Macaca fascicularis: one gene and its partner. The main gene of each other region encodes a partner of the protein of the gene in region 2 in a complex. Links are inferred from orthologs where the notes say so. Each region holds a gene or a part of one and is shown on either strand. Other genes may lie near its edges.

Region 1 (7,760 bases), on a different chromosome or scaffold from region 2:
TCAGCATAGATTGACTGCACCCCTGTCAGAAACCAGACAGTAAGCAGAAAGTAGAGAGTTAAATCAGTATGTAAATCAGTTAAAGCAGTCCAGAGGGAGTGACAGGCAAGGAATGGAACAATGAGAAACAAAGCAAGGAGTCCTCTGATAAGACAAGGAGCCCTGAGTGCTATGGAAACCGCAAGCGGGGTACTGACTCGGGGCCAGGGACGGATCCCTGGAGGAGATGGCATCTGCAGTAGATATTCCAGGGTAAGCAGCAGGTGGCCAGAAGGAGAAAGAGGTGAGGAACTTTCCAGGCAGAGGGAACAGCACGTGCAAAGGCCCTGAAGCAGAACCACAACACACATCTGAGAAATAGTGAGGGGTCTGGTAGGCTGAGCCACAGAGGGAGCACCGGAGTCAGGGAGGATTTGTAGAAGAAGCCACAGGCCACAAAAAAGACCTCATGATTCATGTTCAATGGTTTGGATTTTATTTTGGTGACTTCACTTTACACCTACTGTTCAGAGGCAGCCAATGGCAAACACATCCAGAAGCACTTTGCTATTTCTGATCTGCAAAATGGAGCAAGTCATCTGTACTCTGCTTCTTCAGTGGGTTGTGGGGAAGCAGAAATGAGAGGATGACATTCGAGACTTTTGTGACCTCTCAAGTGCTGTCCTTATGGTCATTCAGGTACCATGAAAATTAGCAGAGCCCCGAGGGGGAGGTAGCTTGGTGCTCCCACAGTGGTGTCCTGGAGAAGTTGGCAAAGACACCCAGGGTGGCTTCACCTTCTCCTCGGCAAAGGGCTCTCCTCTGTTCCCTGAATCCTGGACATCCTACTTGGTCCTCTAGTGACCCCGAGCTTCAGCCTCACACGCCCTCTTCCCCAACAGAGAAGGCAGGAGGGAAGCAGGGACCAGCCCCTGCCCCGTCTTCCAGGATTCAAGGCTTCCCTGGCCTGGACAAGCCCTGAGCTGGCAGTTAGGAGAGCAGAGGCTGTGAATCTGATGGGACTCCCAGCAGGTCTTTCTGGCTCAGTGCCCTCATCTGTGAGCAGGGGATTCCCCAGGAGACCATGACAGAGGCCTGGAAACCAACTTCTAATCCCACATCCTGGTTGGGCAACTTCAGGCAAATTTCTAACACTAGGTAAGCCTCAATTTCTCTCTGTGGTGATGGTCAGGCACCTGCTTAATTCACAGGGCTTTGGTGGGCATCACGTGGACAATGTGGTTGCACAGCAGTTGGCAATGCAAAGGAAAGGAAGTATGTTCGTAAGCACACCTCCCCTGTTGCACAAAACAGGACACATGCTGGAATTGCAGAAAAGCATTAAATGCTGCATAGGTGAAGAAAACTATTCAGGGACCCTGGCCAAGTCACAGGCCACCTGTGGCCCTGAGCGGACAGCTCATGGGCTGGCATTAGGGGAAGCAGCTCTCAAGGGGCTTGTATCCTGGGGATTCAACTCTGTGCCTGTGTGTCGTTCAGCCTGTGTGAATGTGGTGACTGTGATGCAGTTTTGCACTGTGTGTGCATCTGCATGCCTGTGTGTTTGTGTGTCTCTCCATCTTTGTGGGCGGCAACTGTAGGTGTATTATGAGCCTTGGGTCTGTCTGTGTGTACAATAGCAATGTCTGTGTGGACTTAAGGAGCTGCGCCCATATGTTTGTGGGACTTTATGGGCATGCATGCTTGTTTATGAGGCCATATGTCCGGGCATTCTGTGAACTGCTAACATGGTGTGTATCTGTGTGGCAGAGAGAAAATCACCAGGTGGGAGTGTGGGGGCCAGCTTGGGTAAAGGATTCTTGGTGTCACAATGGGTCTCAGTGGGAACCCAAGCAGCTCAGACTTGGGGGAGGGAAGCTCTTCCTCCACCTTCCAGGGAGCAAATCTTGCATTTCAACACCACACGGCTTTGAGTTCACAGGCAGGGACGCAAACTTTGCCCTTTGGGTGAGAAGCCACCCACAGAAGGGAAATGGCTTCCTGAATCTAATCATTGCCCCTTCAAGCACTAACAACCCGTGCCAGGAGCTGATGGCTAATAAATTTTTGAGCTGGAAAGGGAGAAGAGGGAGAACCAAGGAGGAAAGAAACAGAAAAACGAGAGAGCAGTCTGGGTGCGATGGCTCTTGCCTGTAATCCTAGCACTTTGGGAGGCCGAGGCGGGTGGATCACCTGAGGTCAGGAGTTCAAGCCCAGCCTGGCCAATATGGCGAAACCCCATCTATACTAAAAAATACAAAAAAATTTATCTGGGCCTGGTGGTGGGCGCCTGTAATCCCAGCTACTCCAGAGGCTGAGGCAGGAGAATCACTTAAATCTGGGAGGCAGAGGTTGCAGTGAGCAGAGATCGCGCCATTGCACTCCAGCCTGGGCAACAGAGCGAGACTCCATCTCAAAAAAACAGAAAAAGAAAACTGGGAGTGTAAAGGCTCAGAGGGGCTGAGGGCTCCTTTCTTCTCCCCAACTTCCTGTCAGTAGAAGGTGGGCCCTGCCATGGGAGAATTCTGCAGAACCCTCAAGGACCCGTGGAGCAGGACGGCACCTTCTTGCTGTGACCATCCATTTGGATGTGTTTTTCACCCCTTTCTGGGTGGGGCCGACTTTCCCCCTCCCCATGAGTTCAGGCAGTGGGTTAAATAAGATTTCCCTTGAAGTCAAATGAAATCACAATGCACCACACACAGGAACACACACACACGCACGCGCGCACATCACACACACACACACACACACACACACAGAGTCTCCCTGGGGCCACTCAACCTACTGCCCCCTGAACCGCACCCATCAGCCAGGTACCTGGCCCCGGATCTGTCTCTTAGGGTCGCATGCTCCTGGGGGTCCCGCGCAGACCCCGGGCGGATGAGGGTGCGCGAGGGTGAGGGCGCAGGGCCGGGTGTCCCCCGCCCCCACCGTGCAGCCCTCGCCCCCGCCCCGCCCCTCCGCAGTTGCCAGCCCGCCGCCCCCTCCGCGGCTCCGACTCTCGCCCCGAGCGCTGGCGGCAGGCAGCAGGCAGCGGGCGGGCGCGCTGTGGCTCCGCGCCGCGCGGTCCGGGCTCTGTTCATTCATGATTGGTACTCGGCCCTCCGAGACCCAGCCCGAGCGCCGGGAGGGGAGCCGAGCGTGCGGCAGGAGGGGCGGGCGGACCGCGGCTCCCGCACCGCACGCGGCGCTGGCTCGGCAGCCTTGGCCGGGCGGGCGCGCTGGCCCCGTGTCCAGTGCCAGGCAGGCTTCAGGGCACCGTCCTCGGCCCTGGGCGAGGGAACCGGCCGGGCCGAGTCCTCGCGCGGGGAAGCGGTTCCGAAGGCTGGCGGGGAGCAGCTAGCCCTGAGTCCCTGCATGTGCCGGGCTGAAGAAGGAATCCAGAAACCTCCTAGCCTCGGCTCCACGCTCGCTGAATACCAAGCTGCGGGCGAGCTGCCGGTCGCTTTTCTCTCCTCCAATTCAGAGTAGACAAACCACGGGGATTTCTTTCCAGGGAAGGGGAGGGGCAGGGCCCGGGGTCCCAACTCGCACACAAGTCTTCGCCGCCATGGGGGCCGTCATGGGCACCTTCTCATCTCTGCAAACCAAACAAAGGCGACCCTCGAAAGGTAAGCGACCTCCTTCTTCCTTTTGTTCCCCTGTCTGGGTTTGGGGGTGCTGGGCGCCGAGGTGGGGTGTGCCACCTGCCTCCCTTAGTCCGGACTCCCCTCTCCACCAGGAGCCCGGACAGGTGATTGTATCCAAAGGAGAGAGAAACCGGTGGGAGGGTTGGTGTGAACACCAGAGGAGGGAGCCAGAGTGGACGTTTGCCCCATCGGCGACTGGACCCCTCTGGGGCACCAGGCGCCGGGACTCTTCTCCTGGGGAAATCTCTGGGAGCCGAAGGAAGAAGCACGTTCACAGGTGGGGTGACCGGATTCTCTGGTGGAAGTGTGTGTGACAGCTGGCGTTTGAGCACTCAGGGAGGGTGCTCCCACACTCCCACACTCCTCCCAGGCGGCTATGCCAGGTACAGACCTGCGAGTCCCTTCATCAGGAAGAGTGCTCTGTCTGCACCCCCGAAACCTCTGCAAGCCAAAAGGAATCAGCTACTGCCAGGGGTAAAACTCCCAGGCCTTATGTCCTGGTGGCTCCGGGAGTCAGGAGGAGCAACCGTGAAGGGCTGGCTGGGAGCTGAGCTTACAGCAAGGATTTAAAGCATAATATCCTGGAGTCTCTTCTGCCTGGACGCTGTTCCATCACCACCTGTCCCCAGCCGAGGCATAGCTGATCTCACCACCTGTGAGAGAGTCCTCAAATGGGTCCAGATGAAGTTGAAACTAGTGTGTTGGGCCCTGGAGGACAATGCAGGTCTCCTTACCAGCAGTTCGAAAGTTAGTTGCTGGAATAAAGAGACTGGAAGCAGTTAGGAAACGGGAAATGATGGGTTTTGTTTTGTTTAATGTTCGAATGTCACTATGAGTGGTAAGATTTTAAGTAGCTTTGACACTTAAACATTCAAGTTCTACCATCGGAGCCCCCATCCTGGATACAGGTGGGAGTTACAGCTCCTACCCTATATGCCCGATAGTGAGTAGAAGTGCAATGGGGGTAAGGGACCCCTTCTCCTCTTAGAACGCGGTTGGTCTCACCCTGGTTAGAACCACAGAGATCTACGCAAGTAAACTGTCCCTGAAACCCCCTGGAAGAAGGGGTCCCAGCTTCTGGCCTAGATCCCAGAAGCATCAGGCTGGCTGAGCCCCAAGGAAAGCGATCTCTGGGTGCAGATCTTAGGTGCTGAAGCTGGGTTGACATTTACAGCCTAGAACATAGGAAGAGGCTTTGACCCATTTGTCCAGCTGAGTTACACGTCCTGCTGGCAAGGATGGGACTGGTTGCCCTTTTACCAGTCCTGACCAGAACAGGTCTGCAAAGCTCAGCCCAAGGCCTTGACACTCCAAGCCTCACCTCTTGCAGATCCTGGGATGCTGCTTGACTGGAGACAATTTTCAGCACCAAATCTAGGTCTTCTCCCTCATCACCTGTCTGGCCACCATGCGGTCTCAGAGGCCAGGGGACTGTGGGGACAGGAAAGTCAGGGGCTTGTTTTTAAATATTTTGCATGCCTGTGGCTCTCCTGGGAGCTGGGTGTCACAGAAAGATCTCAGGCCCTAGATTCAAGTTGAGTCTGGGTATGAATCCCAGCTCTATCATTCCCTGCCTCTGGAACGTTAGGCGAGTCCCCCCACCTCCCTAAGCCTCAGGTTTTCATCCATAAAATTCGTATGCTACTTCCTGGAAGGAAACTGGTTATGCAGGAAGTCAAGGAAGGGGGGACTCGGCTTCATATTCTGTGTTGGCTGCAGCCACCAGGGACCCAGAGGAAGTTGTTGTAAGGATGTGAGAATTGAATGAATGATGAATACGGAGCTCTTTGCATAGGGCTGGGGAAAGAGTAAGAGCTCAGGCATTGCTGTCTACCATTTCCTTCTCCTGCCCCAAACATCCAGGAATTTACCCTGGATGAATTCCTGCAGGATTCCCGAAGTACAAAGGTCTTTGCTTCTGTCTCAGATTCAAAGAAAGAGAAGAGGGGGTACTAGCATTTAGTGTGCCCCTACTATGTGCTTGCCATAGTGCTAGGTGTTTTATCAACAACTCTCATTTAACTCTCACAACAATGTTTGTTTGAGACTCATGGCAGGTTCGGGGCCAATGGGTGGACTCCCAAGACAAGCTACCAAAGCACTGAGCACTCAGCCTTTCCTGCACAAAGCCTGTGACACTGGCGTGAGTTGTCCAGGGGTCCAGCTGCATATGTTCCCCCAGGCATTTGCCCCCGGAGCAGAGTCATCTCACTGCCTTGCACAGTGGAATGCTAATCAGCAGAAGACCCTTCTATGGGAAGCAGCTTGGAAACCTGGAGGGAGTCCTGGCTGGGGAGGCTAGTGGTCAGGGATCCTATCCTGGCCAGGTCACTTTTCCCCACTGGGGTCCCAGTTTCTTCTTTGTAAAAGGAGAAATTCACATTAGGCATTTCCTCAGGTTCCATTTGGTTCTCAAATTCTAATATTTTTGTGGTTGATGCTCTCACCAGAGCTGCTGCTATGATCTCAGAGACGTGAGGCTCAGATCTAATTAGAAGCGGTCAGAAGAGAGCAGTTGGGATTTTTCAACTCAGGAATCAGTCTCCCTGCTGGGTTCAAATTCAGGCTCTGCCACTTACTAGCTGGATGACTAAGCCTTGTTTTCCTCAACTATAAAACAGGGGTAGTAGTAGTTACCATCTTAAAATAGCTGTTGTGTTGTGTGGATTTCAAGGATCATGCAAGTCAAGCATTTAGCACAGCTCTGAGCTATAAGTGGTCTGCAAATTTTAGGTACTATTCAATTTGTGGCTCTATTGTTTGGGGCTTCCAAACGTCCAGAGTAAGGCCATTTTCCAAGTAGGCAGTACATCTGAGAGTCTTAACAGCTCATTTCTGGAAACCTTATCCAGCCCTATCCAGATAACTAGGACCAAAAACCCAGGCACACAGATGCTCGTCCCTTGCTTCGGCCCTCACTGACCTCTACTCTGTGGCTTGTCCTGAAAACATCAAAGCCTGCTCAATTAAAATCCTGAATGCTTTGATAATACAATTTAGAAACATACATCGTTTTTAAATGGGGCAAAAACTCTGCATGATTAGTGCTGCAAGAAGATATCCAGCCCAACCTGGTGTTCAGAGAGAGCTCTCTAAAGGCAACAGAAATCTAAAGTAATTTAAGAGCCATGCCACTGAATAAAAATATTCAGGTTCACTTCCTGTCCTTCTCTCTGTTTGGGATCTTTGTGTGTCTTTAATTAAAAGTAGAAGAGCCCTGCTTTTGGGATTCAGCCTCTGCATCCCAGTCCCAGAGAGAATTTCTGGCTCTAGCAGTTTTGCATGTGCATGACACACCAAGGACACTGCTCCTGGCCTTGAATGGGCAAGTGAGACAGGCTAGGGCATTGAGGAGAACCAGAGGAGGACCATACAGGTGCAACTGCCGGGCTTGTCGAGGGGGGGCAGGAGAATTTAGGGACAACATCACTAGATCAAGGCCATCTCAATAGAGAACTGCCTACTAGCAAATAATCCCACACTGCAGGGGTGGCTGAGTTAGAAATCCTCCATGACCGAGTGCAAGCATGCAGAACTTTCTGAAAGGGCTGAGCTTCGGATCTCCAGAATAGTCATAGCATAGGTGAGTAAACTCAACTCCATGGCTATCAGATGCTTTTTCTAAGGCCACGTGGTGAGTTAATATGGTACTGGTTAATATAGGGCCAAACATGGGAATGTTCCTAATAGTCCCATATTTGCTCCTAGATCAATGAGCACCTCAGGGAACTTATGAAAGCAGAGTGCACCTGATGAGGCTGGGTTTAGGGTTTATCGGTCAAGGCAGTATTTTCAACCTAAAGATCTGGGAGGGTGACAAGAGACAGAAAGGCATAGAGAAGCAGTGGTCCTGTTGTCACATAGTCCTGTATGGCAAGTCATTTTAGCTTGTAAATGCTAGTTTCTTTATCTGCAAAAGGAGAATCCTGATTTATAGAAATGTTTGTGCTTTGGTCTTTACCCATCTTTGCATCTTTGCCTGTCCTTTTAATTCTGTAATACTCTCCCACGCCACCCCTTGCTACCTTGTCTAATAGTTAAAATTCCATGCACATTCCAAGACCTCACTCAGCAGTTTCCACATTCAGGAAGCCTTCTCCAAGCCCCAGAGAGAAGTGACTTCTCCCATCCGAATTCCCGTATTCTTTT
Region 2 (7,916 bases):
ATTACACATACTTTATACACATATTATTAACAATGACTAACAATTGAGCACTTACACTATGCAAGGCATTACACTAACTATCTCCCATAGATTATCTCATTTAACCCTCACAGCAACCCTAGGAAGAAGAGTCTGTTGTGTCCCCCATTTCATAGATAAGGAAAGCTAAAGCTTACTGAGACATAGCAGTCTAACAACCCCAAAGCGGCAGAATAGGGATTCCACCTCAGGCAGTCTGCTGAGGGCTGACGGTGTGCCGGGCACAGTACCACACACTTACATTGAGCATCTCAAGAGATCTCACCAACAACCCTGAGGAGTAGACACCACTGTAGGCCATATTTTTTCTACAAAAGAAAGATGAAGCATAAGGAGTTGTAATAATTGTCTAAAGGATGTAATAAGTAGGCGCAGCCATTAAAGCCAGGCAGACTCAATGTGGAGTTCAAGAGTACAGCCAGACCACTCCCCAACCTTCCCTATCCCACGCTAAGCTCTTCTGGGCAAAGGCCGAGATGCCTCCACTTTCATATCACAACCCAGAAGGCAGCATAGTGCACTGCATCAGTAGGTGCTTGAGCTGGGACCCCAGTTTTATAGGTGCCATTTTTTCCCCATTAACTTTACTCTATGCCTTGCTAATATATTTCAGGGGTTGCCAAGGGTGAGCGTTCTGTCTCCAAACAGACAGTAAAATCTGAAGACAGATCTGAATCAAAAGAATCCAATTCAAGTATCTGCCTCTGACTCAGTCAAGTTTTCTAAAGAAGCCAATCTCTGCCTCAGTTTCCCCATCTGCATGCTAAAGGGAATTGTCACAGGGCCCTTCTCTCTCTAATAAAGGGAGGTTGAGTCAGATGCTACAGAAGATAACAGGAATGACAATGACATTTCCCGTAAGTGTCACTGCTCAGAACAGAAAAACAGCACAGGCCTGATGAGCTCCTGATTACTGGAACCGAGGAACTGAGGAAAGAATGGAGGTCGTTCATGCATGGCAGTGGGTAATTCACATGCTACTGATAGACGAGTCGGGAACACATCCTGCATTGTATTTCTTTCTAGAAGAAATTTACCCTTCTAACTATACTTTGTTTAGGATTAGGAGACTTAGTAGTTCCTCAGCATGCACTTAGCTAGGATTTATTTCTAATGGGCAAGGGATGTTTGAGAAGCAAGTCCACAAGTTCAACTCTGTTCACAGGTGATTCCAATTCAGAGTTGGTTACATTTATTGAGCACCGACAATGCTCTGGACACTGTCTGAGACACTTTTACACACAATATTTAATTTATTCCCACTAAAATCCTATGATAGAGGCTTTTCTGCCCAAAGCTTACAGGTAAGGAGAGGGAAGTTCAGAAGTCTCCTTCAAAGTGGCTAAGTTCTATGTATATATAGGAGCTGACAATTTTCAAATAGACCATTGATCACCTCACTGCCAACTGGCTTTCCTGATCTAGGTGTTGCCCAATACTGATATTCCCAACAGAAGACAGCAAGATGCAGAGACTCCTTTCCCTATCTTCCCCAGGCAGCAATGAGCAAGGGCTCATGAGGCCTTGCAATTCCAGTTTCAATCCCACCCTCAATTTGTGAAAGCAAGCCATGATCACCCTCTGGGCCTCAGAGTCCTCCTCTGTAAATTGAGAATTGGACAGAAACGTGACAAAAGACCATTTGGCTCAAATGATCCCTGATTCCACTGGATCCAGGACATCAAGTCTGTAACTTAGTTCTCATTCAGACCTCTTAATGACAGTCACCCATGCAAAGAAGGAAGTAGAGCATCTGGGCTTGTTGCTGTGAGGATGGAGTTAGCCTGAGCCTCAAGGTAGCAAAGGGAGTTCTGGGAATTCCTGCTGAGGTTGGTGCTCTGCACAGGGCACATAACCTGTGTCACTTGGTACCCAGGGGCAATTCAAGGCCTGGTCTACCCACAGACCCTTGGCCACCTTCCTAGAGAGTAAAGGAGACCAAGTTCCCAGACTCTCAGCCCTGGACCTTTGATCTTTAACATCCTGTTTCATCCCAGAATAAAGCTCAGAGAGGCAGAATCTTGAGGGGGTTCAAGAGGCAAAAAGTAAGAGACCACTGAATTACAGGCACCCTGTGGAACCCTGTGTGGCCAGACACAGAGTTCTGCCCCCTGAGAGGGTGATGCCCTTCCCCTTTCATTCTCCTAGTCCTGCTCTACCCGGATTCCCAAGTTTTAATACCTGCCCCTGCCAAGCTGAGTCTCATCACCTTCTCCTCTCTACCCTAAGCCAATCTCCAAAAACCGGTAGTGTTTTACAAACTGCTTTCAGATGAATAATTGAGAGCTCAGGAGAAGGAAAAATTAACCCCTCCCTATCTTGAGACCATAAAAGCTTCCAGTCCCAAGGCCAAATGTTTACCCGATGCATGAATCCAGGGCAATCTTCCTAAAGAAGGCCAAGCAAGCACCTGCCTGCCTCCAGAGGCTCAGCCGCTGTCCCCCTGGTAAAACATACCAAAAAAGGAGCAATTACCCCATTGTTACTTTCTCTGTGTGTGGGGGTTGGAGGGCGAAAGGGGAGGACAAGTGTCCCACCAGACAACATACCCAAGGCTACACTGGCCATATCCACCCCACAACCCTGCAGGAATGACCCACTCAAGTAGGCCTTCTCCATGGCTTATACAGCAGGGTTCGCACCCTGACAGGAACCAACACCTTCCGGAGCTGGCCTGGGTATGAATTCCTGCAACAGGCACAACAGTGCGGCCCCATTTCCAGCCAATGGCACTGCACATGCCTCAAATGCCAAGGTTTTACTAGGACGTGGACGCCTTACAAATGAAAAATCTGAAGCTATTTTTGTTTTTGGCAGAAGAGTTTGACAGTGGGAAAGATAGGGGGTGGGGGCAGGCTGGAAAAGAGACATTCAAAACAGGTAAGCTCTGAAATGAAAAAGGTGACAAATCCTGGCAAAGGAAAACATTTTCCCCTGCTGTAAAAAGTCAGTTACTCCATTAAACAGCTTCTGTTTTGGAGGTAAAAGGCCAAAAGTGGGCGGAGTGACCAGACAGCCTGTCCTGGGGTTTGACACCTAGCTGAGTACAGGCATAAGGCAGCAAAAAAAGTCATGTCACCAAGGTCTGTCCTTCAATGACCTCAGTGGAGAGCATCTGGAAAGTTACTTTCCACAATCTCACATCACATCCCTTAGCTCAGAATAGGGCTGGTCTGGGGGCAGCGGAAGGTGCCCATGACCCAGAGGGCTTCTCCTGTGTTCACAGGATTTTGGTAGGCAAAGCATGAAACTGACAAGGTGAAACAAGCTGGGGATCCTTGGGGGACAGGCTTGGGACACACGCACAGATCCTCTTCTCCAACAGTGCCACTCCTAGGCTAGCCAGGGCACTTTCCTGAACTCTTTTTCTCCAGCCTCCTTAAGAGCAAAAGGGAACAAGCTACCAACCTCTTTCTCTGGGGGTGGGGGAGAGGGGTCCCTTGTATACTTGCATTTTGTTGCATTCAAGTAGAGACAAGGAAAAAATAAACACATCAATTCCCTTCCTGTGGGCCAACAGGTCCACATGGGGAAATGTACACATGCTTTGTATTGAATTCGTGCACACCCAGGAGCCCTTTCTACAGACAGTAAACATACAGGCTCCCTCGAAGTAAGGTAAACAAGGCATACATTTAACCATCACGTACATTCATGCAAAATACAGCAACGCATGCCTGGTCTTACAAACATCGCATTGTGCCTAGGACCCCGAGAAAGTTCAGACGCTCTCTCTTAAGAAATACACGGACCCTTTTTCTTGCTGTGCGATTTCAGGTCTGGAACCTCAGCCTGTTGCTGACATATCAGGGCTGCCCGGAATAAAGGCAGAACATCTTGGATCGTATTCAAATGTCGACACTAAGCAAGCGCAGGAATTTAGTTGAGTCCAGGTAACTTTGCCCAGTCCCTTCCCGTCCCCCACCTCCAATGTAAACACCTCGCAAAGTGAGTCTTTCGATCCCCCTTCCCCGGGCCTCGACGGCCCTTGGCGTCACGTAGAGACCTTTCCCAGAGCTCGCGGGGTGGAAGCGGCGTCGGGCAGGACCAGACGGACTGGCCCCCAGCCTCTGGTAGACACACCGCCGGCTCGCCGGGCTGGAGAACTTTGCGAAGCGCCCCAAACCGCTCCCGGTTTCCACTTTCAGCCATTTCTCTCCTTCTCCCCTCACCAAGAGCGGGGACGGAGCAAGCCTTCGCCACCTGTCTCTGGCACCCGCCGAGGGAAGACAGGCCAATGGAAAGAGGGCAGAGGTTCACACCCCACCCCCGAACCCCAGCGCCTGGCTGCCCGGAGGTGGCTCCATAGCCCGAGGGAACCGACGCCCCCGGGCCGGCTGCCTGCTCCCCCACGGCACGGGCCCCACCCCCAATCCTTCCGGCGCCCCAGCGCCCACCCACCCGGGCGCGGGAGTGGGAGGGTGCCGCGTGGGCAGCCGGAGCAACAGGCGTGGGAGCAGCGCTCCTCGCACTTCCTGGCTCCAGAAGGCTCGGTCGCGTCCCTCTTACCTTCCGCGAAGCCAGCCCGGGCCCCGCGCCCGGCGCCCCGCGCGCGCGAGGAAGCTGCAGCCGGGAGCCGGGGGCCGCGGAGGCGCCGAGCGCCCAGCAGCGCGGGGAAGCGCCCAGCAGCCGCCGCTTGCGCGGCTCCTCCTCGCCAGCGAAGTCTCGCTCGCTGCCTCCCTCGCTCGGTCGGTTCGTGCGTCCGTCCGTCCGTGGGGCCCTCCCTCCCCCGCCGCCACTGCCGCCGCCACTGCCGCCGCCACTGCCGCCGCCACTGCCGCCGCCACTGCCGCCGCCGCCGCTGCCGCAGCCTCAGCCTCCGCCGCTCCAGCCCCGGCTCGGCAGTGCGTCCCCTCCCCGCCTCGCCGCTCCGCTCGCGGGCTCGCGGGCTCCCTCGCTCGCTCCCTGCCCCCGCCGCTGCCGGCGCCGCGCCGAGCGGAGCCCGGCCGGCCACGGGCTGCCTCTCTCGAGGTCCCTTTCCCGAGGGGGGAGGTGGTGGGGGCGCGGCGCAGGCGGGGCGGGGAGGAGAGGAGAGTCCGGGGGAGGCGGCAAGGCTGCGCCCTCGGCTCTCTTCCGATCCCCGCGGGCCCTGCGGCCCCAGGCCGGGCCGGAGAGCGCCGGGCCGGAGAGAGCCGAGCCGCCAGGCAGCGGAGGGAGAGAGGAGGAGGACCCGGAGTCTCGCCGCGGGAGGGTGCCCAGGGCGAGGGCGTGCGAGGGGGAGTGACTCCGCGCGCGAGGGTGTGTAAGAGTGTGAGTGCGTGTGTGTGTGTCTGTGTGTGTGGAGAGGGGCGCGCGCGTGAGCGGGGGGTGGGGAAACGAGGCAGAGCCTGGTGCGTCTCCCCGGGCGAGTGGAGGAATCCTAGGGTGTGCCTGGAGGTGGCGGAGTGTACCGACGCGGGTGTGAGCGCGTGTGCCAGCGAGGGTGGGCACGGGGGTGAGTGTGGCAAGGTGAGCTGGGTTTGGGGGTGGGGAGGAGCGGCGAGTACGGCGTGAGCGTAAGTTCGGGGGCGTGTGTGGCTGGGGACCCACGGAGAGGTGGCAGGGAGCGCCGGCGTGTGCGCGCGTGGGGTGTGTGTGCACCTAGCTGTGTGTCTATTTCTCGCTGACTGTCCACAGGGCAGCAGCATCTGCCTGAGACCAAGCCCGGCCACCTGGCAAGGTGGGGCCCCCTACCGCGCAAGCTTCGCGGCTGGCCCCGGGCTCTCAGCTCCGAGTGCAGAGGCTGAAGAGGTACCCAGGGGACACACTGCCTCTAACCCCACGTATGAGCCGCTCTCCTCTCGGAGGGCGAAGACACCATCGGAAGGTCGAGATTCGCCCTCCTATTCCGCCACGTCTACCCACTACCCAGACCGAGAGTCTGGACTTGAGAGCGTGAACTCTCACCCGAGCCGGTCCCCTTCCAACGGGAGCCCGCCCAGCTCCTCAGTCCCTCCATGAAGCCCATGGGTCCCCACTGCCCCGTGCCTCGTCGACCCAGGATGGGGAGTGGGAAGGTCAGCATGGGCCCACAGGGCCAGGTGTCCGGCCCAGATTCCCACCCTCAGGGCGGCGGCGCGCAAAGGGCGCAGTCCCAGACGCTGGGCGGACCCGCGGCTCCGGCTTTCCCGGTGTCTCCAGCCTCGGTGCCCGGAACCCCCGATCTCGGCCTGGCGCTCCGGAAGCGAGGCAGCTCGGTGCCCCAGCAGGGACGGGGAACGCTTGGCTTGAGAGATCACATTTCTGGGTGTGGAGAGGTGGGTGCCGAGGCAGAGGAACGCAAAGTGCGTTGTGACCGCGGGGGTGTTCTAGACTGCGAGGGTGTTCTAGACCCTAGGACAACTGTAGACCCAGGGCTGGAAAACGACCTCCCTGAATCCGGAACGGGGCTTCTGGCTTGTGAGAACCCCTAGCCCTCTTCCAGATGAAGGAGTGGGAGTCGGTAATTGTGGTCTGGGCCTTTGTGGGCCCCTGGCACCTTGGAGTCCCTCATTCACTCACTCTCACTTTTTCCGGAGCCCCCTTCAGTCTGTCAGTTTAAAAGGTACACAATTGGCCCTTCAGGAGGTGGGCGTGGGCTCCATTAGCGTTTGCCAGGAGTCCCGGAGCTGTGTGGGATTTGCATACAGTAATAATGATTAACAACACTGCCACTCCCTGGCAGACAGGGGAAGAATTCAGGGAAGGCCCTGGCGCTGCTCCCACCTCCCTCCTCCCTTCCCTCTGGGGAAGGGCTAATTTTCTGGCAACTGCACACCTCAGTTCCTCTGACCCCGGGGAGACAGTGCCTCGGGTCCTGGGTGGTCACTACTCAGGAGGCGGGGGCACTTTCCTTCAGTCCTCCGTCCCATGTTCAGGTCGGGAAAGTGAAACCCATATTTTTTTTCTGCCCAGGTTTGAACTCCTATACATTCTCTCTGTTGTTTAGCATCTTGGGGGCAGCTCAGGGGTTGAGTCTTCCTCACTGTTTGGAGGCCTCAGGAGACAGTTGGGGACATCTTTTCTCCTCAGAAAGTCAACTAACGGGACAGTTGTGGCCTCCTGAGACTCGTAAGCTCCGTTTGAAGACCAGACGCTGGTCCAGACACCTGCCTCCTCTTTCCTCATAAGCTCGTAACTCATTGCTTAAGTGTGGTAGCTGTAGACTATTCTCTCCTTTCTGTCTTAACCATCTAGGGAAAATAGGAAAGACTGGGATTTCTAGTCTAGGCCAGTGTGAGTTTTGTTTACCAGCCCTTCCTACAACCAGGTGATCTGCAAAATGAGAGCAAGCAATGGGGAGAAAGGAGGCCCCTTGGCTCAGGCAGCTGGAGTAGCCCTACTGCCCAGGAGATGCTGTCCCTCCTACCAGTCCCCAGTCATCTATTGCATCTTTCCAGCACTGCCTGTCCTCACCTTCCCCCTCTGCCTCTGGTCCCAGCCTGGCCGGGATTTTCACTTGCTTTTCCCCCATGACACGGCCGCTTTTCCTTTAACTCTCAGCTTCTATTTAAAAAGCTAATTTGGGAGCTTGTCGATGCTCCCAATTCAGACATTTTAAATAGGAACTGAAAGTCAGGAGCTGCCAGGGCACTAGATTTCCTCCCGTTGCCACCAGCACAGCTGAGGCATTTGTTCAGTCACTCCTCTGGCCCTGGCCGTGTGTGTCTGTGTGTGTGAGCACCCGCGAGCTCAGGGTGTATTTCAGGCTATCTTTTCTATTTAAAGATGGTGCTCCTATGGATGACTATTCTTTCTCTGTGTGTGTGTCCTTTCCAAGCTGTGCACACATGAGGATTCTTCTTTAGTCCCATGGCTCTGGCCGGTATTTGCGAAGCTTGTCACCATGTGGACTGTGAGGGTAATAGGCAGCCCAGCTCAAAGTCGGCTGCTGCTTTGCTGACGTGCCAGGCTGGTGT

The links. The genes of interacting proteins can lie anywhere in the genome.
Region 1: the proteins of KCND3 (region 2) and KCNIP1 are in contact, whole or in part, in a crystal structure (PDB 2NZ0), measured with the Homo sapiens proteins. The link is inferred for Macaca fascicularis from reciprocal best matches to the Homo sapiens genes KCND3 and KCNIP1. Residues at the interface, in NP_001365898.1 of Homo sapiens: Ala6, Ala7, Trp8, Leu9, Pro10, Phe11, Ala12, Arg13, Ala14, Ala15, Ala16, Ile17, Gly18, Trp19, Pro21, Val22, Pro26, Met27, Pro28, Leu29, Ala30, Pro31, Lys34, Lys36, Arg37, Asp39, Trp54; in NP_001030009.1 of Homo sapiens: Leu67, Arg69, Gly70, Phe71, Glu74, Val80, Phe85, Ile88, Tyr89, Phe92, Phe93, Tyr101, Leu105, Phe109, Phe122, Ala125, Leu126, Leu129, Leu130, Leu138, Trp140, Thr141, Leu144, Tyr145, Ile161, Val162, Ile165, Tyr166, Met168, Met169.

The regions. Positions count from the first base shown.
Region 1 is NC_088380.1:177,305,511-177,313,270, forward strand, and holds the start of KCNIP1 (A-type potassium channel modulatory protein KCNIP1), read left to right. Parts: upstream 1-2,978; 5' UTR 2,979-3,532; coding exon 3,533-3,593; intron 3,594-7,760. UniProt on the Homo sapiens protein: Regulatory subunit of Kv4/D (Shal)-type voltage-gated rapidly inactivating A-type potassium channels. Regulates channel density, inactivation kinetics and rate of recovery from inactivation in a calcium-dependent and isoform-specific manner.
Region 2 is NC_088375.1:122,369,339-122,377,254, reverse strand, and holds the start of KCND3 (A-type voltage-gated potassium channel KCND3), read right to left. Parts: upstream 4,219-7,916; 5' UTR 3,980-4,218; intron 1-3,979. UniProt on the Homo sapiens protein: Pore-forming (alpha) subunit of voltage-gated A-type potassium channels that mediates transmembrane potassium transport in excitable membranes, in brain and heart. In cardiomyocytes, may generate the transient outward potassium current I(To).